Linked DNA regions of Alligator mississippiensis. The protein of the gene in region 1 interacts with the protein of each later gene in a biochemical or structural test. Links are inferred from orthologs where the notes say so. Each region holds a gene or a part of one and is shown in the gene's direction. Other genes may lie near its edges.

Region 1 (7,822 bases):
ATAGCAGGTAATTAAGCTTGCTGTTGACAATAGTCCTGTGCTTGGTAATCTTTTGTTTTTCTTTAAAGTCATACAGACAAGCAAATGTAAAGGTCTTTTTACCAGTTATGATCCTGACCCTGCTTTTATTGTACATCTTCAGCTCCCACTGAATCAATAGGCACACTGGATGGGGAAGGAAGACAGCAAAACGTATAAATAGAACACTGGGAAAACAGTTAGACTTTGGCTAACCTAACCAATATTGGGTGTTTTACTTAAGTATGACAGGAGGAGACAGACTGGCTCAAGGTATTCTTCTTTATGCTAAGTTCACTTTTACATTGTTAAAGCAGAGTGAAGTAGCCTTAGTTTAAATAGAAATCAAGAATGGGATTTTCAGTTCTAGGTCACCAGCTTAAATTGAGCCCAGCTTGGTAGTGACTAAAAGTTATTAGCATCTGATGCACTTTTGTAAGTTTTAGGATTGTTCCCTGTGGATCAGTGCTCACATCTAATCTATTTAAGCTTTTCTATCACATTTATCACCATGGTATCTGAGTGCCTTACAAGTTAAAATATATCTTTTTAAAGTATCTTACATATTTTACATTTCTCTCCCTTCGCCCCCACACACAGGTTTGGGGTGTTTTGAATAACCTGGGGAAGGTTATGTAAAATCCATGCCATTTCTATTTTGTTCGGAAATCTGGGAATTTCATGGTCTTTTTGAGATGCTCTAGAAATGGATTCCAGGCTTCTAAACCAGCTGCCAAGAAAGCTTTGTTCCTTGTGCCTCCCTATAAATAACATCACCTCCAAAATGCTGGCAGCCTCAGGGGCAATATTGATAATTCTGAATGAATACAGAGATGGAACTATGCTTTGCTGCAGGGCTCAGGAATGGGGTAGGGTGGCATGTTGCTGTTCAAACTGTACCCATTCTGTGGATAAACAGAGAATGGTCTATCCTGGACTGACAAACTCTTTCAGTAGTGCATTTATTTAACACAAAAAAGTTAGCAGTTAAAATGGCTATGGGAAAACGGGCAAAGTTAAGATCATCTAATCCTACGAGAAGCCCATCTTTAGAAGCCCTGAACGTAATAGGGAAACAAAGTTAGTCCACGCCATGACACATTTAACTTGACTGCTTTAATGATTAACCTTTTCTTTCTGTGCCTTTTTAATAAAGATACAGAATCTTGCAGGATATGACTGCATCTGTTTGGGGCACAGATATTTTTCTCCTGCTTCCAGGTACTGACTTTTTGTTAAAAATACCCTCTTTAAGACTGATCCTGCAGAGACTTAGTCATGTGCTTGACTTCAGGTCAGGGACTTCAGTAGCCCTACTGAGTTCCCCAGACTACTCTTGCTTAAAGCACATGCAGGGGCAGGGCCTCAGTGTCACCTCATTAACCTAAATGAGTGATTTTGAATTAGCACGCAATGTTAGCATGGTTAGGGGTGCAAACATGATTCACAAGATTAACTCAGAAGTATCAAATCGGAATCCATCCTGTTAAAATCATCCTGACTAGTTGTGGGTTTTCAGAGTTCTTCAGAATTGCTCTGTTGTATTTCTACAGTAAAAAACAAACAACTGAGAGCTGGCACTTTCTGAGAGCTGCCTCAAGTCTGAAAAAAGGTTGACAACCACTGACCTACACAGAAGGATCCAATGTGAACTACACGGTAGTGAAAATAAATGTGCAGAATAAAATGCATGTGATCCCATCCATATCATGTCTCTCTCAGTAAGTACAGTATATTGCTTCATGAAAACATAACAATCCTGTGCAATAAAAATATTTTCTATAGCAAGCATATCTTCTGAGCTGCTAGTTTGTTTTTAATTGGACCAAATATGCACTTGAATGCATGTTCAGGTTGAGCACCATTGTACACTCAGAGGGGTTAGCCATTTTTTTCATACTTTACTCATCTGCCTGATTGGTTTCTTTATCAATTTAACATATCCAAATTAAAGTGGGAAATATACTAGGTGTGCAGTAATTTAAATTTTGGAGGGTGGGGGGGTATAAAACTGGTTTGACAGGTTGTGTTTAAGCTACATTCTCCATAATCATTTGTTTTGCATTGGCTGATAACAGATTTGTGTATGTATTCAGAACTATAAGCACACATTTATTTTTAAAGGTGTTGAGAGCCTTTTTGTCTTATTTTTATTTACAGTTTCAGGAATCTGAAACATTTATTCACATCTGCTAATGCCTGAAATTTCTGAGAAAAATAATGCCAGGATTTTAAAGTAAAAGAAAAAACTGAAAGGAGAGTTTTAGATGAGGGGGAAATAAACACATGCAAAATAGCAAAGGTACATATTCCATTTAGATGCAAGCAGAATAAACCACAGAGTAAGTGGGTGCGTCAACACAAGACACTTAATGCATAGTAGACTAATTCTACTGTGCGTTAGTGTGTCACGGCAAAAACCATGCTAACGCAGTAGAACTAGCTTTCTGCACATTAAACATCAGAAAAAGATGGTGTGCTTTTGTTACCATGCATTAGTGCCAGCTACAGTGCATTTATGTAGTACCTCATATTGGAGGTACTAAACTTAATACACTGTAGCAATGGTGCATTAATGCTTTTGTAGACATGCCCAGTGGGTATTAAATGCAGGCTTTTCATCATGGGATATTGCCAGCTACATAGGACAGTTTTGACTCAATTTAATGGCGTTGCAGCTAAAATGGTGACGTACTAAGAACTCAAACATCAAGATAGATGCTCTAAATCAGGGCTCAACAACCTGTCTCAAGAGTCAGATCCAGCCTACAGACCCACTGGATCTAGCTTTGAGGGACATGGGGCTTTGGCAGCAGTGTCTCTGGTTGCTGTGACAAAAAGTGGCCATTGTGGCTAGGTCCAAGTGACCATCCACTCTGACCTGAACCGGGTCAATGTGGTCCGCAGCCTTAAAAGGTTGCTGATTACTGCTCTAGGTTGCTGTTTTGCTTACAGACACTGTAGTCGAAACAGAAATATTATTTTCCTCTTGGTTGCTGTCCATATGCTGAGCCAAATGCTTGGGGTGAGTGGCTGTTTAAAAGGAGAGAGAACAATGTGTTGAAATAAGGTTTAATGGCAGTTGGCACCAGCTGCTGAGAATAAGGTCTGTTTTGGCCCATGGGAATGAGAGCTGGTGTGGGGCAACTAGTAAAAGCAGAAGGGATGTGATGCTGAAACAGCAGCTGGAGACTGATTAAGTGCAGTGGCTAAAACAGAGCTCCCTTAAAGAGAAAAGACAGGAATTGTCAGCTGAAAGCCAAGTGTAGTGTGTAAGAAGCCTTGTCAGAGATCTGGACAGAGAGGGGAAAAAAAGGAGAAGGCAGAAGATGGAACTACTGAGAAATTAAACAGAGGATGATTACCTGCTGGCCTCCTAGTAGGGAACCATTAAGCAGTGCAGCCATGTTACTGGTGATTAAACAGCAGAAGAGCTTGCTGCTCTGGTCACCAGCCTTTCGCACCTCAGCCACAGGACGAAAGGTGAGACCACAGCGAGAATGCTGCGCAGAGGCATACCGACAATGCCCCAATTTGACAGCATACTCAAATGAATAGGGCATTTCAAGCAGCTGTGTAATGCAACATTAGCAGAAAATGAAATGGCAGTTTGGTTTGCAACGAGGCAGGCGTAGGATCTTCAAAGCCAAGAGTCCTATGGAAAATAACACAATGCTCAGAGAAGTGCAGCAAAAACTGAGAGAACTCTAAGGCCATTGTACACAGCCCCTGCAAACTTCCACATCAAATCAGGGCCATTTTCTTTACAGGCAAAACAGTAAGATAGACATTATTGCAACCAATGATCACAGGATGGTACAAATTATAATAAATGTGATGTTCACATACTTCTTGTTCTGAAGACAAGCTTATATTTAAATAATGTGAAAAACGAGTAATAGAAAATATAATTGCATACAAAGACAATGCTAATTAAAGGTTGCAAATCAAGTGCTGTGAAGTTCGGGAGATGCCAGAAGCAGAGTTGCTATGCAACTATAATTCAGCTCCTTTCCATTAGCATTGGGCCCACGAGGATCTGGGAGATCCTCTAATCTGATCTGCACTCACAGATGCAGGATTTTTCTGTTCTCAGAACCTTGCCCTGGATTATACCGGGAGTTTGCAGAAGGGTCAGGAGCACGACCCAGGTCTCTGGGTCCCAGGCGGGCGCATTAACACAGGAGAGCATCCTCTCTCCTCCTGCCGCGTTCGTTCTGGGCCTCAGCAGGCAGTGCATGAGCCTGCAGTCCAGGGGTGGGCAAGTACTGGGGCCCGAGGGCCACTTCGGGAGTTAGGTGAGCTGTCCCGGGCTGAGTCAGCACCGCGCCCCACCCCACAGTCTGCCCCCGATCGTGGCCCCGCCCCGCACTGCCACCATCCCGTGAGCCCGGCCCCAGCCGCGCACCCCGCCCGCAAGAGCAGGAGCAGAAGCAGGGCGGACAGACCAGGGTGCCCAGGCACCGGCTAGAAGGAGCTGCCACACCTCGGGCCCCTAGGAAGCGAGTCTGGAAACGCGCTGCCCTGCAGGATCACACCACAGCCCAGGGCACCCCCGCACACCGCACACCACCCCCCGGCGGGGGGCCATGCCGTGTTGTGCCCGCCTGGGCAGGGGGAGGTGAAGGCGAAGGCGGAGCGTGCTGGGCAGGCGAGACCACGCCCCACCCCGGCCACGTGACCCCGCCCGTCACGTGACCCACCCGCCGCTGCGGCTGTGAAGTTACCGCAGTGTCCTCGGCCCCGCCCCCTCCGCGCGCGCCCCGGCCCCGCCCCCCGCCCCGCCCCGCCCGTGCGCGCGCCTTCGGCTTCTCCTCACAGCGGCGGCGGCGGCGAACGGGGTCGGGTCGGGCCAGGTCCGGTCTTTCGGAGCGCACGAGCCGCCCGGGCAGTGCCGGTTACCGCGGCAGCAGCGTTTTGGTCGCCGCAGCGGCTGCCGGCGCGGACAACATGGCGGCGGTGTCGGGGGCCGCGGCTGCGGGCGGCGCCGCCAATGCGGGCGGCCCCGAGATGGTGCGCGGGCAGGCCTTCGACGTGGGGCCGCGCTACACCAACCTCTCCTACATCGGCGAGGGCGCCTACGGCATGGTCTGGTGCGTGTCCCCGCCCCGCCCCGCCGGCCTGGCCCAGCCCGGCCCGGCCGCGTCTCCCCTCAGGACGGGGCGCGCCCAAACCTGCTCCGCGCTCCCCTCCCCGGGCGCAGGTGCGAGGTCCCCGCGGCTCCGCCGGGCTGGGGCTCGGCCCTGGCAGCCGCGGGAGTAACCTAGGGCCTGCGGAGCCCGGGCCGCGCCCCAAGCCAGGCGGCCTCGTCTCCGCGGGGGGCTCCACGGTCCGCTCCTCGGGCCTCTGCCCGTTGCAGGGCCGAGTCCGCCGGGCAGAGCAGGCCTTGGCCGGGGTTACTTGCTCCCGCGAGGCTGCCCCGGCTCGGGGCTCTGTGGGCAGCCTGGGTTGGTGCTTTCCTGCTGCCCTAGTGCGGATGTCCCCGGTGCAGGTCGGCCCGAAGCCCCCGAGAAGGCACGTTCATGCATTCGTGTTTGACACCAAGGCCGGGATGGTACTTCTGTGCATCCTCCCGCTTATTTTGGAAGAAGGGTGGGGGGTTGTCACAGGAACCATTTAACTTCACGGTGACAGGATATGTTTGGGTACTGAAAGGCTGCAAGAAGTGTCAGGAAGGATGCAGCCCTCTGGCAGTTGCATCCTTTTTTTTTTTTTTTTTGATAAGGCAAATGAGCAACCTTTGGTTAATGGGCAGAAGTAGGGAAAATGCCCCTGCCTTTCCTGTCTCTGCTGTGTTAAGGTGTCGCACATTTTTCCAAATGTTCAACTCTTCCATCAGTCCTAGGAATCTGAGGTTATACCTTTAATTAAAAAATAAATAAAAATGTGCAGCTTGTTGGTATTTTCTGTAAGTGGATGTTGGATTGTCTCTGTTAAGAATACTAATTCTAGCGGGTCTAGGGGGGGTGTCAGGTAGTATGAGGTGGTATGAGTGCAGGGTGTATCCTCCTTCTGGGCTTCGTAATTTAAAGCAGTTGCTCTAGGAAGCATTGTGGCTTTTATTTAATTGCTATTCTTTGGTACAGTCTCAAGTGTGAGAGGACATGGAACAAAGTCTGTCAGTTTATGTTGTGTACTTGAGTAAGAAAGCGTTGGATTGCACATGTCCTAGTGAGGTGCCATAGCAACTGCAGTATTTTGGTAGCGCATAAGACACAAGCTACTATGATTTAAATAAGATTACTTTCCAGTTACAGGAGTTACTGGTTGTACAGATTAATGCTAGATGTGTCATGGTTTGCTTTGCTGGCAAAGTTGCATGTGCAGTTCTCACAGTTCAAATCTGTAGAGGCCTTTTCAGTTTAAGGAGGCGGGGTGGGGGGGGGTTCTATTGCATTGCAAGTAGATTTATCTAACTTTTAATGAAGAGTTGTGGCTTTTCCAGTCAAGGAAGTCCAACTTAATATATTAAATCTGGCAATTGCAGTTATTTGTGTATTGTACTGTGTGGTTTCTTAGTGTGGAAATGTCAAGTGATTTTGACTCTTACAACTCTCCAGGGTATAAAGGAAAATATAGACCAAATAAGCCATTTGCTTGAATGTGTTCCCATTCAAGTTGTCTCTAATATGGAAACCCTTAGGCAGTCAAATGCCTGCCTTTATCTCAGTTGTCCATAGTTGGTCCAGGTTTTGAGTAGAAGCAGAAATTGAGTAAAAATACAATTATTACAGCACTACATGGCATAGTGTTCTCAGGGTGTCCTTTTTCAATATTAGAGCAAATAACGACTTTGTGCCTTGACTCTAGAGACCAGATTCTGTCTTGTGTTGAATTCCCATTGAAATATTGTGCTGAGAGATTAGGATATGTCCTTGTTCCTAGGACAAAACTCTAGGCTCTGCCTCTCCTGATGGTCTGTCGACGGGGGTTAGCCACTTCATAATTACTTTTTCTTTTCTCACTGTTTGTTTTTGTTCCTTTTACATAATAAAGACAATTATGAAAGAGAAAACATGGTGCAAACAACCGAAATGCGAGAGTTAACTAAAACCCTAATTAATTTCCAGGATTGAATCTCAAGCAATTTTGAATTATGTCCCAACAAATAAGAATATATATAAATACTGCATTCAGTCTAACGTACATAGTTGTTTTATCTAGTTTTTTTCATCTTTCCAGATATGCTCTCCATCTTAACTTTTTTTTTTTGGCTGGGTTAGTCATTTAACTGAATGTTTAAAATAATATTCATTTTTTGGAAAGGGATAGTTAATATCAGTGTTATGGGTTTTTTACTCTGCTTTTTAACCCATTGTTCCCCATCAGAATTTCTGCACGTGGAGTATTAAAGCAACAACAGATATAATACATATTTAAAAAAAAAAACCATAAGTGAATGCAACTGGACTAAATGATCAGATCTTGTACCTATCTCAGGTTCCCCATTGTGTCTTTCGAGTCATTGATAACATTGTTTAGCTACAGTATAAAGGTTAAAATAGGCTAGTTAAATCTTTATAGCATAGCTGTTCTTGATGTGAAATGACTCTTAATGGCAGTTTTGATTTTAGGGTGCTCTGCTTCCTGCTAGTTCCATCAGAATTGACCTTATGGGAGAAGTTGTGAAGAACTGTCCAGTTTAATTTTAATATACCTATTGTTCCTCTTGAAAAGCCTATTCATGAACTGATTTAAAACTGGAAAATTAATGAAGAAGCCACTTCCTAAAATAAGTATTTCCTCAAAAAGGTGAAAAATAGGAAACTTGATTACATTGATGTTTTTGTGGAAATGCAGAGCT
Region 2 (6,363 bases), on another chromosome or scaffold:
CAATGCTTCACCTTACTCACTTCAGCCTTAACTTGAACTTCAGTTTCTTCTTTTCCCAGGCACTAATTTCTAATCCTACACGAGATGCAAGAAATGTCAACTCCGCTATCCTCTCATGGAGGGAGGTGTAACTTCAAGCTGATCTTTCCCTCATTAGCTTTACGTTATTTCTCATACTTCTTACAGTCATCTCCTGGGGTAGTAGTACACTCCACGTACCAAACGCAGGCCCTGAAGGATGATTGCTTTTACTTCTGCCTTTTCCTACTTGGGGTTACTCAGAATGGCAACTCTAAGTTTCCTCCAGTTTTGCATGGATTGTTCCCATTCAAATTTCTCAAGCATTACCCATCACATGCCAACATTTTCCCAGTAGCATCCAGTATTTCTTTGCTGTGCAGTACCACCCCTGTTGTCCTGTAAGTTGTTGTGTTTACTGGAGAGGAACTATTTGCTGCCTAAGAAAGACAGATGATGATCCTTCCATCTACAGGCTTTCAGGATTACTGACTGGTATCCTCCCGATTACACCAAACTGCTGGAATCTGATTGACCATGTCAGTAATTGAGCTAAAATCCCTTTATCAAACCCAAACACAAGAACTGTCATACAGTTACTTTAGACAAACCTTCTAACTAACTGTATATTAGATGGCAGTGTTGCAGCAGTTATTAATGACTTCACTCACACAGTAATTACAGCTACAAGCACTCGATCTGAATACAGGCAGTCCTCGACTTCCAACGTTTCGAGTTACAACGTTTTGCATTTACAACGTTTATAAATTGACACCCTGTTTCAACTTTCTGATGTCAGTTTCGGCTTTACAATGCTTGAACTGATGTGACGCCACACCAGCGAACAAGTTTGCTGCGTCGCTCATCTCCCTGGAGAACGTCTGTCCAAACTTCCTTGGACACTTTCTTTAAGAAAACAGACAAGACTCCAGAAAAACCTGCAGCCAGGACTGCTAAGAAGACTCCAGCCAAGAACCCTTCAAACAGTCCAACCAAGAGCCCTTCAAAATGTCCAGCAAAGTCACCTCAAAGAAGTCCTTCCAAATCAATGTGATTGCTATTTACGTTATAAATACATTAATGTAGCTATATTACTCAACTATAATTGATCGAGTATAAAATTCTGGGGTATTTTTGGTGAAAATAGGGTATCGGGCCTTGGTTCAGGAACCAATCCCCCATTTATAACATTGTTTCTTATGAGAAAATCGGTTCTGAGTTACGACGTTACGACTTAAGACGCGGTTTTCAGGAACCAATTGTATTGTAAGTCTGAGGACTGCCTGTACTTACAACCAGGCTAGAGAAGGACTTCCTTGCTGTCCCAGTCAACAGACTAACTCACACTCCCAAGGACCCCTGTTTAATCCCCTTAGATTTCTCATTACATCTTCTTCTGAGCTCCAGAAATTGATCAGATCTAGCCCCTGACTTGTATATAAGCCTCTCTGACTGTTTGCAAAACACAAAACCTTCTTCTACCATCCTTGTTTTCCTTCAGCCCATTCTCAGATATACTGGAGCCAGGTGACTGGTATACCAGGCTCCTTGCTGTGACTCTCCCACCTTTCCTAGCTCTTTTCCTTTGTCTTTTCCTTTTCCTGTTGACCAACATGTGCACGCAACAAATGACACGGGTCACCTGTGGGTGTGAGAGGGGGCAGGTACCACAGCAGCAGATAGGTCAGGAAGGAGAAAGCAGAACAGCAGATGAGATGAGGCAGAGGAGTGGCACCTGGGGCTGTTGAGGGCTAATTTGTGACATGCTCACCGAAAAGGCTTGCCTCCAACCTCTGTGGCTTAGTAGCTTCCACCATGACACTGGGCTCTGTTTTCCTGCTTAAATCGTGCATTCCTGAAAGTCTGATCCAATGTTGGACATCAGAATATATTCAAACACATCACTATCCAGTCCATAATACCTTCCTTAACATACCACAACATGATGCCTACATCATACACATCTCACCTCCACAGGGCAGCTCACAGGTACAAGAGTGAGCCTGAAACTTCGCCCCGTAAGCTGCTTTGAAGGACTGCGCATTTTCTTTATACCGAACCAATGCAGTTGCAACACAGCATCAAGAGTATTGGACTCAACTTAGTGAATCTGCTGCTTTTAAACCAGAGATTTCAACCAGGCTGTGGTGCTGGTGGCAGGAAAAATATTATTGTGGGGAGCTGAATAAATATTATTGTGGGGGGGCTGACCCACGCCCCTGCAGGTTTATTGCAGACCCGGTGTGTGCTGGTGCTGTACGCGGTGCTGGAGGAGCAGCGCCGGGTGCTGTGGGACAGCAGTGCCGTGGTGCTGGTGCTGTCGCTGGCTGCTGCAAAATTAGTTTGGGGGGGCTAAGCCCCAGCCTTCCGCCACCTATAAGCTTTGGGCAGGGCTGGATTCATGCATAAGCAAACTAGGCACATCCCTAGGGCCCTGTCCGCCTCCCTTCCCTTCACTTCCCCTTCCCTCCGCCAGCCTCGCCACTGCGGCAGCTGCTTCCTAGAGGCCGCTCTGAGCCCTGCTCCCCGCAGGCAGCAGCACCAGGGTGGGGAGAGGGGTCTTGACCAGCCCCGGGGTCCATGAGCTTGTTTGCCTCGGGCTTACAAAAGGGTTCATCCAGCCCTGGCTGTGGGGGCACTGCCAGAACCTTTAAAGGCTCAACATAACTGCTATTTATTGGGTCAGACCTTAGGTCCGTCCAGTCCAGCATCCTGTCACAGTGGCTCGAGGGCCAGCCGATGCTGTCTGGTGTGCTCTGCTCAGCACCCCCCTTGGAGCACTTCCCCGTCGCTCTGCCAGAGCAAGACCCGCCATCCCGTCATGCGTCCAACAGGCCCATGCGGGGGCGAGGGTGGCCATCATAGAGGACAGTCCGCTTTTCTGCTACACTGTCCTCTATCGGTCCGAAACCCGACGCCTTAATGTCCTCTCTTTTTCTCTTTGAGAAGACCCGATGCCTTTATGTCCTCTCTTGTTCTCATCTGATGTTTTTCTTGGAGAAAAAACAGAGGACATAAAGGCGTCCGGTTTCATATCAATAGAGGACAACTGGACTGTCCTCTACGATGGCCAGAGAGCGGCACCGAAAGGTGGCAGCGGAGGAGAGCCGCACATGGGACCGACCCGCGTCCCCTTCCCCGCACGCCGCCAGGGGCTGGTTCTTGACCCCGAACGCCGCCAGGGGCTGGTTCTTGACGTCACCCCGCCCAAGGCCACGCGGGATCATGACACGATTATAACCGTCCCTGTTAGCAGGCCCCGTCAGACAAAAACAATCCACAAAAAACTGGATTTTCCTTATTTCCGCCCCAATTTACAAACTCAAAACATTTGAATACACGAGGAACGCATCCATAGATGAATAAAACCACGTGGAGCCATGGGCGCGTGTATTTTTGTCATTTGCCAACAGAAAAAATCCAGGGGTTTTTTTTTGCTTTTTATTCCGATTTAGCCACCCCTGGCGTGGCGAGGCCCTGAACTGTACTTTCAAGCCTAAATGCGGGAGGGCGCTGAGGGAGTGCGACAGCGAGCCAAGAGCGGGGTGTGTTACACATGGGGGAGCGGTGCCGGGGGGGGGGCATAGGGAGTGGTGTGGGGGGGGTGTTGCACGTGGGGGTGCACAGGGAGTGGTGCGGGGGGTGTTACACACAGTAGGTGCACAGGGAGCAGTACAGGGGTGTTACACACGGGGGTGCACGGGGAGCTGTATGCGGGGTGTTGCGCATGGGTGTGCACAGGGAGTGGTGCAGGGGGTGTTACGCACAGGGCTGCACAGGGGGTTACACACAGGGGTGCATGGGGAATGGTGCAGGGGGGTGTTACACATGGGGGTGCACAGGGAGCAGCATGTGGGGGTGTCATGCACAGGGGTGTTACACACAGGGGTGCACAGGGAGCAATGCGGGGGGTGTTACACAAAGGGATCACAGGAAGTAATGTACGGGGGTGTTGCACACTTGGGTGCACAGAGAGCAGTGCAGGGGGATGTTGCACAAGGGGTGCACGGGAAGCAGTGCGGGGGTGTTGCACACGGGGTGCACGGGAAGCAGTGCCAGGGTGTTGCACACGAGGGTGCACGGGGATAGCAGACAGCCCCCTCCCGCACTGTTCCCGCGGCGCCCCCGACCCTGCCCGGCAGCAGGGGGGAGGGGGGAAATCACGTGACAACCGCGCTCCCCACCCCCTCCGCGGGAACCCCCGGCCCGTCCCATACATCCAGGCGGGGGGGGGAGTAGGGAAGAGTCCATCATCCCCCGCGTCACCCCCGTGCCCCCCCTCCCCTCCGCCCCGCTTGGTATCTACCTCCGAAGGAAGCCCCGCCCCCTTCGGGCGCCTCTTCAGCGGGCAACCGGAGATTCGAAAACAATACGTCAGCCCACAATGCGCCGCGCCGACCTGGTCCGCATTACCTCATCCCGGCTTGCCCCGCGCGCGGGAGGAGAAGCTTCGAGGGGCGGGGTGGCCATGGAGACGGGCTCGTAGGCAACCGGCCCGCCCCGCCCCCTCCCCCGGCGGCCGCAGCCAATGGGGAGGCCGCGGGGTGACATCATGGGCTATTTTTAGGGGGTTACTGGTCGCTGATAAGTGTCGGGCTGCACGCGGCGAAAGGGCTCAGACGCGCGGCCGCCAGCGCTGCCCCCTGCGCCCGGCTCGGCTCGGCTCGGCCTGCGGCGTCTCGGGACACACGCGAGCAGCAGCCGGAGGAGGAGGAGGCGGCGGCGGCGCAGCGCAGCGCAGCGCAGCGGGACTCGGGCTCCTGCCCGCAGGGGAGAGGCCAGGGCCGGCCCGCGCCCCCCGGCTGCCCGGTGCCGGCCCGCCCGCCCTTGGCCCCCTGTTCTATGACTGCAAAGATGGAGCCTACCTTCTACGAGGATGCCCTGAACGCCGCCTTCGCGCCGCCCGAGAGCGGTGGCTACGGATACAACAACCCCAAGGCGCTGAAGCAGAGCATGACCCTGAACCTGGCCGACCCCGCCAGCGCCCTGAAGCCGCACCTGAGGAACAAGAGCGCCGACCTGCTCACCTCGCCCGACGTGGGGCTGCTCAAGCTGGCCTCGCCCGAGCTGGAGCGCCTCATCATCCAGTCCAGCAACGGGCTCATCACCACCACGCCGACCCCCACCCAGTTCCTCTGCCCCAAAAACGTGACGGACGAGCAGGAGGGCTTCGCCGAGGGCTTCGTGCGGGCGCTGGCCGAGCTGCACAACCAGAACACGGTGCCCAGCGTCACCTCGGCCGCCCAACCTGGCGGCGGCGGCATGGCACCTGTCTCCTCCATGGCCGGCAACAGCGGGTTCAATGCCAGTTTGCACAGCGAGCCGCCGGTGTACGCCAACCTCAGCAACTTCAACCCCAACGCCCTCACCTCGGCCCCCGGCTACACGCCGGGCAGCATGGGCTACCCGCCGCCACCACCGCCGCCACCACAGCATCACATGAACCCCCAGATGCCGGTGCAGCATCCCAGGCTCCAGGCGTTGAAAGAAGAGCCTCAGACTGTCCCTGAAATGCCGGGGGAGACTCCTCCGCTGTCCCCCATTGACATGGAGTCTCAGGAGAGGATCAAGGCTGAAAGGAAGCGCATGAGAAATCGAATCGCCGCCTCCAAGTGCCGGAAAAGGAAGCTGGAAAGGATTGCCAGATTGGAAGAAAAAGTGAAAACTTTGAAAGCCCAGAACTCAGAACTGGCATCCACTGCCAACATGCTCAGAGAACAGGTTGCACAGCTTAAGCAGAAGGTCATGAACCATGTCAACAGTGGGTGCCAGCTCATGCTCACACAACAGTTGCAAACGTTTTGAAGAGATTGACTCGAGTCAGAACTAATGAGGTTGTGGTAGAGCAAACAAACCCCCCAGAAGTGGCAGACACGTAAAGCTAATGGTAAAAGCTGAAAGGCATTGAGTCCTGCCTGCGCCCCGCCAAGCGCATGTGTGGAAAGACTGGCAAGCCTTCAGTCCGAGCGAGTGGGTGAAGCAGCCAGCAGCACCGCTCTGAGAAGTGCTGTGCCTGCTCCGAGGAGACTTCAGATCTCTTGTTTTAACACTGACCAAGACCTGCATGGACCTAACATTCGATGATCATTCAGTATTAAAGGTTAAACTGCAATAGAGACTGTAGTTTGCTTTCTGTAGTACTCTCTTTAAAGGAAAAAAAAAAAAAGTGGGAGGGAGGCTTGTGGGAGGCTCATAAGGAAAAAAAAAAATGAACTATACTGCCTGCCTTCACTTAAATTTGTGTATGTACATATCTTTTTTTTATTATTATTATTTTATGAAAGCTGATTAATGTCAATAAACTACTTCATGACTTTGTAAGTTATTTTTATGTTGTTTATTTGG
Region 3 (7,881 bases), on another chromosome or scaffold:
AATCAGACATATATTGAGTGGCCACATTTTCAAAAGCAGCCCAAAAGTCCCACTGAATTCACTTGCAGTTAGATGTCTCAGCCCTAGGCATCTTTCAAAATCGAAATAGGCACCTAAATTTTCTAGTAAACCAGGTCCTGTGCCCTTTCTCCTATCTGTCTAGACACACTATCATAACTCCATTTCTGGATGGTTATAGTAACTTTATCGTAGTTCCAGTCCAGTGAGGACAGGCCAATACTTCCTTTTCTCCTGAGTAGAGTTGCTTGCAACTTTTCTAATAAAAGTTTTTAATTAGAAAACACCAAGTCATCTCATCTGAAATGTTTTGTGAGAATGTGCCAATTACAATTACACACTGCCAGTAATTGGGAAAGGTTTCTCAGCTCTGGGAGAAAATGCAAACTCCAGCCTAGGCAATAGCCTAGTGGTTAGACCTGCTACGTGGGAAATAGGTTCAAGCCTTTACTATAGAGTGGGCTTTAAACTTAGATCTGCTGTATCTGATGAGTGCTCTAAGCACTGGGCTGTTGACTGTTTTGGAGGTAAGGGGAAATGCTCTGCTTGTTGGAGAGACAAAAGATTTTGCAAGTCCTGGGATTGACCCACTGCAGTACAGGGAAAATGTTTGAAATCTTGAAAATGTTAATGGGATGGAAAAATGTTTCCTGCCCAGCTCTGCTCCAGGGAGGTATTTGGGGAAGGTGCATTCACTAATGGCTGTAAGGCATGCAGCTCATGCTGCAATGGGAGCCATGTGAATAGTGAGCAAAACAGGGAAGGAGGCGAATACCATATAGAGCAGCACGGCTGAGTTTTAAGTCTTGTTTCCTCCAATGCGTATAGGTTTATCCCACCAATTGCACCCTCCCTATAGGACATTTTCTGGGGATTAATGACCAGCTGGATGTATAACCCCAAGTACTTTGCCCAGCTGGTCCTTAAGTGCCAGGAAATGCCCTGCATTGCTATCCTTATTGCTTAAACAACAATAACCCAATGGAGAATAAGGTGAGTTATTCTGCCTGCCACTTCCAGCTTTCTCCAATAGATGGTGCAGCTCCTCGCACAAATAACTCCAAAGCACAAAGCAGAAATCAGCCAGGTGGTGTTTCGTAGAAGTTCTGATTTCCAGACACCGATTTCAGTTCCTGTGCAACTTAAAACACGGGAGGAAATTGAAGACAGCGGTAAAAACAAGAAAAATCTGTCTCATTCTTATTGGCAGTGTGCCTAGACTTTGCTAGAAAAGCCATCTCTGGAACTTTTCCTGTACCTCTGCAATGCATTGAATCAGATCCATCCTTCTCACATGTTTTCTCCCTTATTAATTACTCTCTTGCAAACCCTGATCTTGCAGATCAGGCGATCACTGATTTTCCAAAGCTTTGTGTAACTTTTTGGTTGCAATGTTTCCCCACCCACAGCAGATCTGGGGCTATTTGAGTCTTCAGCTAGGGCTCCTGGTTTCTTAGCTCAAGCCCTCTACAGATCCAGTGCTACCAGCTCTGGAGGAGCTTGGTTCACTGTTGGCTTGGAGGGCAGCTTGCAGCCTGTGTTGTTTGTTATAAGAGCAGCATGGCTGGAAATGCTGTCAGGTCAGAGGTGGATTCATTTTATATGGGTATCCAGTTGATACCTTTACTGATCAGCTTGCTTATAAGGTGAGCTTTTTCTTGTCTAACACTATGAAGCACTTTGGGATAGAGATTGTATACCTGAAAGATGTAGCAAATTCATAAAGCATGTATGCAATGCCAAATTTATGTGTTAGGCTCACTCTTGCAATACTGAGTCACAGCACAGAGGCAGGCAGGCAGGTAGTAAGATCTTGGAGGGTTTTATTTTTGCATCCAGTGTGCAGGTTTTTATTTTTTGCACAGGGCTTATATTTCATTTAGAGATGCTAACATATCTAGGTGGAGAGATGACAGCCATTTCGAGCGTCTTTGAGATGTATGTTTGCAGGCTTTTCTCTGGGAGGATGGGCAAAAAACGAAAAAAAGAAAAAAATTCATGCATCTCGAGTGCTGTTTGCATATATTTTGCAATCTAATTGACTGAGCAAACTGGATATAAACAGTGGAAGGGAATGGGATAATTAATCCACAAAATATCACAAAATGTGCTGAATACCTTATTCTATGACTGTCCCCACTCTAACCTTTTATAAATCTATGGTATATGATGACAAATGGTGTGCATCAACCCTGAAACTTGTTAACATAAAAAATCCAGACTGGCTTTGTGATATCATTTAAAGGCAGTTACAGTGGACCCCATCGGTATGAAGTATGGCTCATGAATCATTAACACACACGCTGTAATGACTTTGTATGACATGTTTTCATTGCTCCGACTGCTTAGCACGCAGTACTTTCAGGGATTTGGGGGCTGCCCCAAAGGCTGATTGAAGTCTTTGGAAAGATTCCCGTTGACTTTAAGGGCCCCATCCAAAATCCATTGATTTGGACAATGAAAGGGGAAAATCCCTTTTTTGTTTTTGGTGATTGTGTTTCGTCCCCGGGAGAGGAAACATTAGGAGCTTGAAAACCTATTTTTGTTAGTGTCTAACAAACAGCATAACCTGCCCTGTAGGATTTTTGTCTTAACTATTAATAAAGTCTACAACCATTGTAGCCTTTATGAATAAATGAAGTTGCCTACTTTCAGTTTCCCTATCTGAGAAATGGGTGTCCTACATATCTCTAGTAGACAGCATCAGATTTAATTACTGACTCTAAAGTGATGTAAGATCCCTGGGTGAGAGGTGTTTATAAGTGCCAAGGGTGGTTGTTTGTAAGTCTCCAGCCAACATGAAGGCCCTGTTGTGCTAGGTGCTGTCCAAACACGATGAGAAACAGTCCCTGCCCATTAAGTTGGCAAAGGATGCAAAGGGAAACTGAGGCACCACAAGCTGCCGTGACTTGCCTGAGCAGCATTGTGGCAGAGCCACAGAATAAAACAAAGCGTCTCGAATCCCAGCCTTGCACCCTGTCTGTCACGGCCTTTCTGTGCCAGTAACTTGGCACAGCAAACGGGGTGAACCAAGAGAACCGGGATCAGAACCGTTCCCAGGGCCGAGCCCCTCAGTGCACACTCTTCCCATGAATCATTTATAACTGCCTCTCCAGTGACCATATCTATGACCATTTAAAAATTCATAAATGAGAGTGGGGAAGAGATAATGAAGATGGAAGGCCCAGCCTGCTCCTGGCGACTGCAAATGGGACTTTTAATGGGGACTTCAACCGGGAGACGATGGGGACAGACCATCCTTCCAGCTCTGAAAGCGGGCTGCCCGTTCCAGCACCGACACCCTCTCCTGTAACACGATCCCCAGGCAGTCTGCCCGAGACTCCAGTGGCGGCTGAGCCCCCCTGCGAGCGGGCGCTGCGACAGGATTTAAAAATCGATAATAAAATATGACGCTTTTATCGATTCCCCCCAGGAATGCTTATTTCAGGGGGCTTTATTTTGGGGGCTTATTTTTCTGCTAATGTCTGACAGTGACAGGCTCAGTCTCCTCCCTGATGTGTGTGGAAAGCCCCCTGCTTCAGTGAGGTGGGGGGATAATGTGCCCCGGGGAAGGGCACGGGTAGCAGGCAGGGTTCCCTCTGGAGGGCCTTGCCAGCCCTACTTTTCTGTGAGGCCTTTTTTGAAATCAATAATAGAATATGACACTTTTATCAGTTTTTATCAGTCCCCCCCAGCCCAGGAAAGCTCATTTCAAGGGCCTTTTGGGGGGGCAGTTCTGCTAATATCTAGCCATGCCAAGTAAGGCCTCCTGCCTGATGCGTCTAGAAAGCCTGTTTTTTTGGGGGGGGGGCAGTACATTTGCCACAGGGAAAGGCAAACACTGCCTTCTACCCCATCCAGGAGAGCACAAAACAACTGCAGACTCCCCCTACGCCTGAAGAAGGGGAAAGCTTGCAAAGAACAATTTTTCCAGCTATCAATCTAATAAAATTGACCCAAAGAACCTGGCCTGCCTTGGGGAAAAAGGGGCATCGATGCCAGACAGAGCTTCCGGCAGAGATCCCTACTTTTCTGTGATGCTGACGGGTATTTTGGGGCAGTCTCTCCATGCCCCGCAGCACGGTCCCCTGCGTGATGCCCCTTCCTTCAGGTGCAGGGGGAGTAGATTTGCCCCAGGGAAAGGGGCATCGATGCCAGGCAGCATTTCCTGCAGAGATCCCTACTTTTCTATCCTGCTGGGGGGTATTTTGGGGCAGTCTCTCCCCATCAGGTGCAGGGGGAGCAGATTTGCCCCAGGGAAAGGGGCATTGATGCCAGTCAGAGCTTCCTGTGGAGATCCCTACTTTTCTGTGATGCTGGGCGGGGGGGTATTTTGGGGCAGTCTCTCCACGCCCTGCATGCTCCCCTGCATGATGCCCCTTCCTTCAGGTGCAGGGGGAGCACATTTGCCCCGGGGAAAGGGGCATCCATGGCAGGCAGCATTTCCTGCAGAGATCCCTATTTTTCTGTCCGGCTGGGGGGTATTTTGGGGCAGGCTCTCCACGCCCTGCATGCTCCCCTGCATGATGCCCCTTCCTTTAGGTGCAGGGGGGAGCACATTTGCCCCGGGGAAAGGGGCATCCATGGGAGGCAGCATTTCCCCATGCGGACGCTTGTTGTTTTTTGAAGTCACTCCTATACTAAAGCCCGCCGCTTGCTTCGGGCCGCTCCCCAGGACGGCTGCTGTCGGGGGCTGGCTGTGCAGCGGAGCTGGCGGCACCTGCCCGGCCGGTGTCGGCGCGGGGAGGCGGAGCCCGGGGCGCAGCCCGGCCCCGCGGGGAGGAGGCGGGGAGCGGCGGAGGCGGAGCGGGCGCGGGCTCGGGCTGAGCCGGGGCAGCGCGGACAGACGCGGGCAGACGCCGGCGGCATGAGCGGCGGGGAGGTGGTGTGCTCGGGCTGGCTGCGCAAGTCGCCGCCGGAGAAGAAGTTGCGGAGATATGTAAGTGTCCCGTCCCGTCCCGTCCCGGGTGCCCGCGGACAGCTGGTGCCGTGCGCGCCGGCCGGCAGGGGGCGCTGGTTTGCAGCGGGGCAGCGCCGGGGGCCGCTGCGGGCGCGGAGAGGGTCGGGCTGGGGTCTCCCCGGAGGGGATGGATGCACGTCTTCCTGCTTGAAATGTCTGGTGCAAGGGGGGAAAGTCCCGGAGGCATCTCTGTGAGGGTGCACTGCCGAGTGCCCTCTGTGAAGGTGCCCATCCTGAGTTGCGGGCTTGGCAGGGGCTTTACCTTGAAACGAAGTGGGGGGGGGGGGGGGGACCTCCCAGGGAAAGGGCTGCATTTCTTCTCCCAGGGTGGGTGTCTCCCAATCTCAGGGGAGGTCTCGGTGCATTCGCGGGCACCGTGTCCCTTTCCAGTTCAGAGGATGCTTCTCCTTATCTCTGCTGGAGAGCGGCTCCCGACACCTTTGCCCCAGTGATCAGCTCTGTATCTCGGTGAACTTGCTTTTGTTCCTGCGCTGCTCCCCCGCTACACACACACACGCACGCTTTATCATTAGTATGAATTATTGAACATTCGGCCAAATGCTTTGAAGACAGAGCGGGGCCATCGGAGCGCTATCAGTGCCGGCATGACAGTTGCCAGAGATCAAAAGGTTTCTGAAGGTTGTAAAGACTGTCTAAACAGCCGGCCCTGCTTCAGACTCAACCCAGTGAGTAACTCCGGCTTTGCCTTCTCTGTCCAAGGACCTCCAAGTTCATCCCAAGCCATAAAAGCCTAACCCGGCTCTCAAAAGCGACTGCACGAAGCGGCTGTCCTCTGACTTAGCAGATCTGCTCCCTGGCTGAAGTTGGAAACAGATCTGCTGACTGGTGGCAAACAAACAAAATAAGTGTTTGCTGTGTTTCGGAGCCCGCCGGGCCGTGGGAGGAAGCGGGGGGAGCACTGGATTGTCTTCCTTCTTGGGTTATATCAGCAAACTTGCTCTATGTTCAGTCACTTCCCCATGTGAAAGCCTTAGGGCCTGTAGGGCTGGGCTGATGTCTAGGCTAGGCTACACTAGACCTTTGATTAAACATTGCAGCGTGCCTCTGCTATACTAGCAATCCCACTTGGTAGTGGTGGCAGGGCAGGGGATGACCAGGGATCCTGGTTTTCTCCGATTTAAAAAAAATCCTCAATTTTTGGTTTAAAAAAAAAGTAACCCCAAATCCATGTATTTCCATGATTTATATGAAATGCCACTAATATGCAGAGAGAGAGAGTGGCATTTCACTTTATTCATGGAAAAATGTGGATTTGGGGTTATTTTTTTTTAACCAAAAGTTGGGGATTTTTTAAAAATCGGGAGAAAACCAAGATCCCAGGTGATGACTCAGTTAGCCCTCCAATAAATGGCATTAGACTTCAGGGGTGCTGGATCTGCTTACTCCAGAACTGGGACTCCATCTAATTACCTTCCCATTACCACACCTGTCAGTGTGGTGGTCCCTAACTACCTTCCTGAAACCGGGAAATTTGCAGACAGCCACAGAACAAATCTCGGGTGGATCCAGGATTTTTTCCCATCCTGCCCACTAGGCATATTGTGATCAAGGCAACAACAGCATTTTAGCATCCGATGTCTGTCTGCATGTAGGGTGTCTGGTACAGACTGAGCAAAGGGACTGCTTTTAGCTTAATGAAGCAAAGCACCTTCCTCCCACAGAAATAAACTAATTGCCAACACTGACTCACCAATGGCCTTAACCCATCAAATGTCATTAGCTCTTCAGTGTCTCTCCCATGAAAGAGCACTCACATTGCCTTGTGAATATCCAGCTTGTGCTCTTGCATTCCAACAAGAGCCGGGTAAATTTGTTAAATGTTAGGCACGAGGGTGTGACGTGCTGGAGGTTAACGATAATTATTGATGTGCATAAGAGCGTCTTTCAGACGGATGGACATGCAAAGTACTTTGCAAACCACCTATGTTTTGAAAATGCCTTTAACCTTCAGGGAAAGGCAGCTGAATCTGGGGTGAAATGCAGAATGTCTTACAAGCATGTGCAAGATAGGAAGTGATACAGGAAGCTGTCAGCAAATACATTTTGAAGGGATCTTTAGATACCCTGTGCCTAGAAACACCGTCACTTGGACTTGGATTACAGTCTTGATACCTGCCCTGGTTTCCTACAGGAGGTTGAATAAGTCGCTTAGGCCAGCTATACCAAAAGCAGCTACTAACTTTTTTTTTTTTTAATTATTTTGTTATTTGCAGAAGAACCAAGCACAGCTGCTTGGATTCCAAGGAAATCTCCGAGTGCTTGGCATTTCATAACCCAGGCTTATTGCATTTCAAGCCGGGGGCCAAAAGTGACCGGCTGGTTTTGAAAATGTTGCTCTCCGCTCTTACTATGTCTTACTCCCTGCTGCTCATTAGTAAAAGGTGGTGGCAGCATTTACCCAGCCTTCCCTTCTGAGCAACCTTATCAGAGCCGTGCACAGAGCCCCTGGGTGGAAGGTTCTGCATTAGCACGAAATGACAGTATTCCCCCAGGAGGACATAAACAAGGTCTGGAGTCTGAAAACCAAATGCCTCGACCCTTATAAAGGGTTGTTCTGGGCTCTGTAATAAACCCAGCAGCCAAGGCCCTCCTCTGCGCTCTACCTTTGATCACCCTCCTGTTGCATTGCATGTGGCCTCACTTTCCTCAAGGACCCCAAAATCTAAACTCTGGAGCCCTCTTGGGGGGAGGGGGAGGGATGTTTGAACCCAGTACCCTAGCCTGATTTCGCCTTGCATTGCTGCCATCCAGATTCAAAGGCAGGAGGGGGCATTGCTCCTTCCTTTCCAGCCCTAACTGGTGATGAACTGGCACTGTGCATCAATCCATAGACTCTGAGTCACTGCAGAGGAAGGTGTGTTTTTCAGTGGCAGGCATTGTGG
Region 4 (6,925 bases), on another chromosome or scaffold:
CGTAGACAGGGAAAGCAAAGGGGAATGTGGAGAGGCTAATATGAAGAACTGTAGGGCTTCAACTGAACTTTGATCAGCTCTGAAGACTGAAAAACTTGATGAGGATGAGAGTGGACCTATTCACTTATGAAATGACATGAGGAAACCTGGCAAAGGCTTTTTCCTTTGGGGACTGACTTTTTCCCCATAGGTTTTATTAAAAAGCACATTTGAGGTTTTGTTCCTGGTTCCTGGGGAATGATCTTTGTTTGGTCATGTTTGACAACCCTTCCAGGAGCAGGATACTAATCGCCATTGTCCCCCTGCTTTCCTTGTGGTAAGTTAGGTTGCAAGATAGCATTGATTGTATAGTTTTATTAAGGGGTTAGACAAGGATTTGTATGGGATGTCAGGCAGGTGGAAGGACTAGGTGAACTCCAGAGGCCCCTTCCAGCCCTTCTTTTCTCTGATTCTGTGTTCACACAAGGAAACAAGCTAAACAAAACTAGACATGTCTTTTCCATCTCTAAAGTCAGAACTGGCTGTCGCCTAGCAAGTCTCCTGGCTTTTTCTTTCCTGTTCAATATTACAGAAACTCTGGGGCTGAAGAAGCAAAATTATCTCAAGTTTGAGGTGAAGAAGGAGGAATTATTATACGATGCATAGTGATGATAACTTTTTGTCTTCTGCACAGTGTTAGTAGCCCCTATCTAGTAAGTGAGCAAACCTTCTATAAAGAAAATCAATGAAAAGGTGCCTTGACTTAGTCTAGAAAGGTTTAAATGCCTGAATTAAGTGTTAGACTTTTTTTTTTTCCTCCAGATTTCAGTATATGACATGTCCATACTTACAATATTCTCATGTCTAGGTAGGATCAAGTTAGTATTTTGGTTAATGGCTTCACAGGATTTCTGATTGCACTACAAAGATAATTGTACAGGGAAGACCCTGTTCCTCTCTCGTATTGTTCACAGGCAAGGAGTTGCTGCTATGAAATTTTCCTCTCCAGTCCTGCTGTGTGGTTTTGGGAGATGCAAGCAGAAGATTCTCGTGTGCCCTTGAGAAGCTACGTGTGCCCTTGAGAAGCCAAGGGGGCAGCAAATGAAATTCATGCAACCTTTTGAATCTCAAAAGAAGAGAGCTTTAAAGCAAAAATGAGGGCAGGATCCTTGTCCCAAAGAATTTACAAATGTAACGGACAGCAAGCAAATGAGATTCCATTATCATTTTTATCATACTGTTTTCACGTTATTTTTATTTCTACTCATCTCAGTCTTTTAAGGCAGGTATTAAGTAAGGTTGATCTTGCCTGGAGATATTCTAAGTGCTTTTAACTTTTTATTTTAAACCATTTTTAGAAGTGCACCGATATATTGGTGCCATATTGGATTGGCACCGATAAAAGAAAAATTACCATTATTGGCTATTGGCTTTTTTTGGCCAGTGTAGCCAATAATGTCACCAATAAATATAATATTGGGCCTCCAGATGCCACGTGCATGCGCGCAGTCACATGGCCAAGAGTGCAGCCAGGCGGTGTGGAGAGCAGTGCCCTGCGGGTAAGTCTGTGGAGGGGAAGGGGCATGGGGGGGGTAGATTGAGGTTACCACAGTGAGGGAGGAGTGGGGCAGGAACTCCAGCCAGGGGGGTGAATGGGACCTGGGGCAGGGAGCAGGACGAAGCCACAGGTGGCTCGTCCGGGGGGCACGGGGACATGGGGGTGGCTCCCCACTGCTGTGTACACCCCCCTGGGGGAGGCATGGGGAGGGCATGTGCCCCCCAGATTTGTGTGTGGGGTGGATGCGGACTGTCCACTGTGGGCTTAGGGCTCTCTGCTCTGGTGCCTTTGCGCTGGGGGCTCCGTGCCGGCCATGCATCTCCTGCCCGCTCAGCAGTAGTGGGGGTGGTGAGTTGTGCGTCTCTCTGCCAGGCGGGTAGGGGATGCACGGCCAGTGCGAGGCCCCCAGGGCAAAGGCAACAGTGCATTAAGCCCTGAGCCCACAGCGAGCAGCCTACATCCACCCTTGCCCTTCTCAGCTCCACTCCCATCAGAAGTGTACCCGTGCTTAAAAATGGTGGTGGTGGCACTCAAACTATGAGCTTTAGTTCAAGTACCCCCACCACCATTTTTAAGCACTAGGATGCTGATCACCTGGACAAGCTGCCTACGCTGGCCCCAGGTCCCATTCACTGTCCTGGCTGGGCAGTGCCCCCAGCCCCTGCCCCCACTCCCTCCCTCCCTCACCGTCAGGGCCTCGATCTGCCCCCCATGCCCCTTCTCTCTCCTACACCTCTTCCACTCCACAGACTTACCTGCAGAACGCTGCTCTCCACGCTGCCTGGCTGCATTCCTGTAAATCGGTTATCTGATCAGTACTAGCTGATATGGCTGGTTAATAGTCAGCTATCGATATTGTCCAAGAAAATGTTTATCGGTGCACCCCTACCATTTTTGCACCATCAAGGCAAATAGATGTTAATTTTTTCTTGTTTCCCCTTTTAATGTAACCACATTGCTAAAATATATTAAAAGGTCAGCAAGACTCAAATCTTAGAAAATCTTGAGAAATGTGACTTTTTATTACAGTTTGTTTCATATCTGCAAGTGAGCACTTTTTTCATTCTGTGATCCTATAGACCACTACTGACTTTTCTTTAGAGCACTCCATTTTCCATTATTAACAAGGCTTACTCAGTTGGATTGTTATTAAATTAGTAATGAATTAATTATCAGCCAAAGCTCTGTTTTTAACACACAACCTTAAAAGGGATGGGAATAAGAAAATGAAAAACCCAGCATTTATTGCCACCTTTAAGTTTCAAAGTGTTCTCTAAATTCATGAAACTTGCACTTTAATACCAAACCTTAACTCTGATAGCAGGATCAGTTGCATAAAACCCTGCTGGTGTTTCTTACTATGGCACAGTCCATTCATTTACAGTTAATGTCTACTTGATCATTGCAGAGGTGATGATCAAGGTTGTGCATTAGAATATATTGTACTTGCTTCACAGTGTTTTGGAAAGCCTTCGTGACCAATAATTCGGAGAAGACTTCTTGTTTTTAAATGCAGGCTGAGATAATGGAGAACAACATGACATCCTTAAAATGCTGCGTCACTGAGTTGAAGTAACCTAATTCTCATAAACCCAGGCACTTTTCTGTACTGAGGTGACGCTCAGTCTGATGGATGTGAAGGGTTGATGGAGTTTTGTCCACAGTTGCATGAGAGACAGTTGACATCTTTCAATAGCTTATAACTCTTCCCAATCTGAACAGATTTTCACGAGACAAGGAAACTACATTTTCCATGACTATCCCTTGTTAAACTCCAGAGTCTTGCTGCAAACAATTGAGGTAGTAGCGCTGTTAAAAAGTAGTATCTTCTTTTTCTGTCATTTAAAATGCAAAGTAACCAAAATACAGAGCTTGCTGGTGATCCCCTTAATAAGAATCTTTTAAAAAGTTTCTGCGTGGATCGTTAATATAAAGAGCACCATCTGCCGGCATATTGGGATTTATAGCAATAGGTCAGAGTTGGTTGTGCAGAGTTCTTACACTTCAAATTGTTTCCTGATTACAGCTTTGGGGCTAGCTCATGGTCCTTCTCAGCCTTGATGAGTGGGAAGAGTTAACAAATCCTGTGCTCTCCTAGAGGCAAAGGGGTGGGTACTTTTTCTACTCTTCTGCTCCCCCTCTCCAAAAAAAAAAAAGCTGCTTCCCTGGGTCTCCCTATGCCCTAGGGAAGAATTGATCTGAGGTAAGCTTAGCTGAGGGACTGGGTCTCTATCTCATGGGGGAGGGCAGTGTGAATGGGGGCAAGTGCTGAATTTCTGTCTCACTGTGCTGTGGAACACGTAGGGTTAAATTGGATGGTGGGGGAGGGGTACAGTTTGATATTGCCTCCCATGTTTCACCCGCCCTCTTTCCTGTTTCTGCCTCTCTTGGTTTGGCAGGAAGTTGCAGGCACTGATAGTTTCGATCTGTCTCACTCCTTCTGTGAGTCCCGTGTTGGAGTGGGAGGCCTTTTCTGGGTCTCTAGACTGGGAGGCTTTTCAGGACACGGGGATTTTGCCATGGGGACGTAGATCGCAGGAGCATGGCCCCGCTGGAGCCCTCAGTGGGCTTGGTTATTATGGTAAGTGAGGGCTTGAGAGAGGCTGACTTTAAGGCTGAATCAGAGCTTGCGGGGACCAGGGTGGGGGGTGTGCCAGGTGTGGAAATGGCGCTAGGTGTGGGAGGGTTTGAAAAGGAGGTGGGAGTCAAATCTCCTGGGTCGTGTTTGGAGCTGTTGTATCTGGCAGATTGACAGGGAAAAGGGATGTCAGGGTTGTTTGAGTTGTATTTCTGCCCGTGCCCTTTCTTCGAGCCCTGTCTGTCTGTGTGTTGCCGTTTCCCTGTCTGTAGAAAGGGTAACTCAGTGGAAGTCACCCTCTGCCCATCTCATGGGGGCCCTTTGCTGAGGGAGCCTCTTTTTTGGCCTCTGCAGTGAGTTGTGATGGTCCTCAAGCTGGCATGCTTGTTGGGCAGAGGCTCCCTTACCTAAAATATCTTTGTAAAGTTTTTGTGCGTGCAGCCCTCTACAGCTCACCAAAACTCAGTAAGCAGCCCACCAGCCGAAATAATTCCCCACCCCTGCTCTAGAGTGTACGTTAGTAACTTGTTTATATAGCCATGTGATAATTGGATAAAAGGAAACCTAAGAGAAATTGAAGGCTTGCACTATGTTTCTTGAGGTGCTGTCACTTACCTGGATCCTGCTTTCCCTTATCTGCTCACCACAGGAAAGAACACTTTGCTCAGCAGTGAGGGAGCTTGCTTTTCCTGAGGTTCCCCACTTGCCTCCACAACCCTTTAAGGTGGGGGTGTCAAACATTAGGCCCCGTGGGCTGGATGAGTAGTGTGGAGCCAGTCTGCAGGCTGGATTGGGCCCACAGACTGGCCCTGCAGACCGGTTCAGGGCAGGCACCTCATACAGGACGCATGCTGGACCCTGTCTGGCACACACAAGATTTGGCCTCATGCCATATGCAGCATGTGGGACCGATCCAGCATGCTCCTCATATTGGCAGATGGGACCTTTCTCAGACCCACAGGCAGCACCCTGGCCCAGCTGATAGAGCTCCGCAGGCCCGATCTGGCTGGCAAGTTTGATCTTTGACACACTTGCTCTGAGGTCTCTGATTTCTGCTGGAAATGCAGTGCTGAACTTTCCTGTCAATGCTCACAGTTCTAGTGCCTCCACTTCCATGGATTGTCCTGAATCCAGTACCTTTTCCCAACCCCTTCTTAGGCCTAGTCCCCTTTCCTTTGTGTCCAGTGTTCTGCAGCAGCTCAGGTCTCCTTTTATCCATTTCTCCCTCTTGTATCTCCTGTTCTTCCTCCCCATGTATCCAGTGCCCCCCAAGTACCACTCCCTAACACCCTCTCATTCCCCTTTCAAGCATAGCCAGTGCCCTCTACCCCACCATGTGCACCTGGTGTCATTTCCAGTCTTCCTGCTTATTCCTGTTAGCCTGATAGTACTGCATCTACTGAGCACCAAAGTGCAATGCTGTTCCACTTCTCAAGTTCTTGAAAAATAAGAGAAAGGTGAATGGGTTCTCCTCCTTCTTGCTGCTCTTTTCAGATTTAGTCTGAAGTCTAAGGCAATGGTGTGTTACAAAGTTACCCATGTTCATGTTTTTCAGGAGCTTGAGCAGTGTAGAATAAAATTACACTTGGGCACCTAAATGGTGTTTAATGATGGTCTGGAATCTGGCCCTGTGTGGCTGTATAAGAGTAAACCATTTACTTAGAGACCTTGGGGTAGGAGGTGTGTTAAGTGGTCTCAGGGATGTTTGCAGAAAGGGAGGGAGAGGGTGTCAAACTATATTTGGGAGTCTTCAAGGAGCTTGCCACTATGGATGGGACCATTCTCAGACCCACAGGCAGTACCATAGGCCTGTGGGTGGGGGAGAGGTCTGGTGTAGGACTGCTGTGAGGGTGGTGGAGTGTGTACGAGCACCAGAGTCTTGGTGGAGTGTGTCAGAAGTACTCTTCAAGGCCTGTGCAATAGTGAGGTGACTCAGAGGAGTCAGTAAAGGATGAGTTTTATTTCTTAGCTCTAGTGGCTTCTTCATGGCTAAATATTGAATAATGTTTTGTGAAAAAAGTGAATCCAGGGGTTACTGTAGCACAAGGTTCTCAAGCCAGCAGCTGCCATGCACCTCTGCCCCATCCCTGACACAGCAGCAGCAGATCATTTCACAAGCTGCTAAGCTGCTTCCGTTTGTTCCTGAGTTCCCAACTCAACAGGAAGGAGGCTGGACTTACTGGAATGGCAGCACTTGCTTCTGGGAGTTGCAAGTTTGAACATTTAACCCCGGAGGTGCTAAGATCAGCTAGGAGCCTCTTACACCTCTAAAGGGTTAAGGGGTTTCCTTCCTGCGATTTGATAGTTTCATAGTAGCTAGGGTTGGGAGGGACCTGAACAGATCATGGAGCCTGACCCCCTGCCACAGGCAGGAATGAATGCTGGGTTCACAAGACCCCAGACAGGTGATTGTCCAACCTTCTCTTGAATTTGCCCAAGGTAGGGGCGAGGACCACTTCCCTGGGAATTTGACCCCACGCACCTCCCCACTCTTATAAACTACCCTTGTAAATGTGGGGGTTGATAAGGGTCACTACTGACTCAACAGAGAGACGGCTCTGTTCTGACTCACCCATGGCCCTCTGTGTAGTACTCAGTTATTCAGGGTTTGGTGGCAATACTTGTTTTGCGCTGTGAGGAATCCGGCTCAGGGGACATGTTATTAAAATAGAGAGCCTTACTACCAGCCACAATCATTTAAAAATTGCAAGTGAGACCTTCCCCACAAAACCATGATTTTTTAAAATCTAATACATTTGGGTTCTTTTCCTTCTGGTTTTAGAGCCGCCAGGCTTATTTTTGCAAGTCTG

The links.
Region 2: of the proteins of MAPK1 (region 1) and JUN, one has a biochemical effect on the other in vitro, tested with the Homo sapiens proteins (2 studies listed by BioGRID, with this or other methods). The link is inferred for Alligator mississippiensis from reciprocal best matches to the Homo sapiens genes MAPK1 and JUN.
Region 3: of the proteins of MAPK1 (region 1) and GAB2, one has a biochemical effect on the other in vitro, tested with the Homo sapiens proteins (2 studies listed by BioGRID). The link is inferred for Alligator mississippiensis from reciprocal best matches to the Homo sapiens genes MAPK1 and GAB2.
Region 4: the proteins of MAPK1 (region 1) and TNFRSF1A form a complex in vitro, tested with the Homo sapiens proteins (2 studies listed by BioGRID, with this or other methods). The link is inferred for Alligator mississippiensis from reciprocal best matches to the Homo sapiens genes MAPK1 and TNFRSF1A.

The regions. Positions count from the first base shown.
Region 1 is NC_081833.1:15,153,397-15,161,218, reverse strand, and holds the start of MAPK1 (mitogen-activated protein kinase 1), read left to right. Parts: upstream 1-4,800; 5' UTR 4,801-4,968; coding exon 4,969-5,111; intron 5,112-7,822. UniProt on the Homo sapiens protein: Serine/threonine kinase which acts as an essential component of the MAP kinase signal transduction pathway. MAPK1/ERK2 and MAPK3/ERK1 are the 2 MAPKs which play an important role in the MAPK/ERK cascade.
Region 2 is NC_081828.1:13,377,652-13,384,014, reverse strand, and holds JUN (transcription factor Jun), read left to right. Parts: upstream 1-4,859; 5' UTR 4,860-4,860; coding exon 4,861-5,823; 3' UTR 5,824-5,851; downstream 5,852-6,363. UniProt on the Homo sapiens protein: Transcription factor that recognizes and binds to the AP-1 consensus motif 5'-TGA[GC]TCA-3'.
Region 3 is NC_081824.1:464,867,230-464,875,110, forward strand, and holds the start of GAB2 (GRB2-associated-binding protein 2), read left to right. Parts: upstream 1-4,861; 5' UTR 4,862-4,885; coding exon 4,886-4,957; intron 4,958-7,881. UniProt on the Homo sapiens protein: Adapter protein which acts downstream of several membrane receptors including cytokine, antigen, hormone, cell matrix and growth factor receptors to regulate multiple signaling pathways.
Region 4 is NC_081824.1:254,190,718-254,197,642, reverse strand, and holds the start of TNFRSF1A (tumor necrosis factor receptor superfamily member 1A), read left to right. Parts: upstream 1-3,917; 5' UTR 3,918-4,079; coding exon 4,080-4,118; intron 4,119-6,925.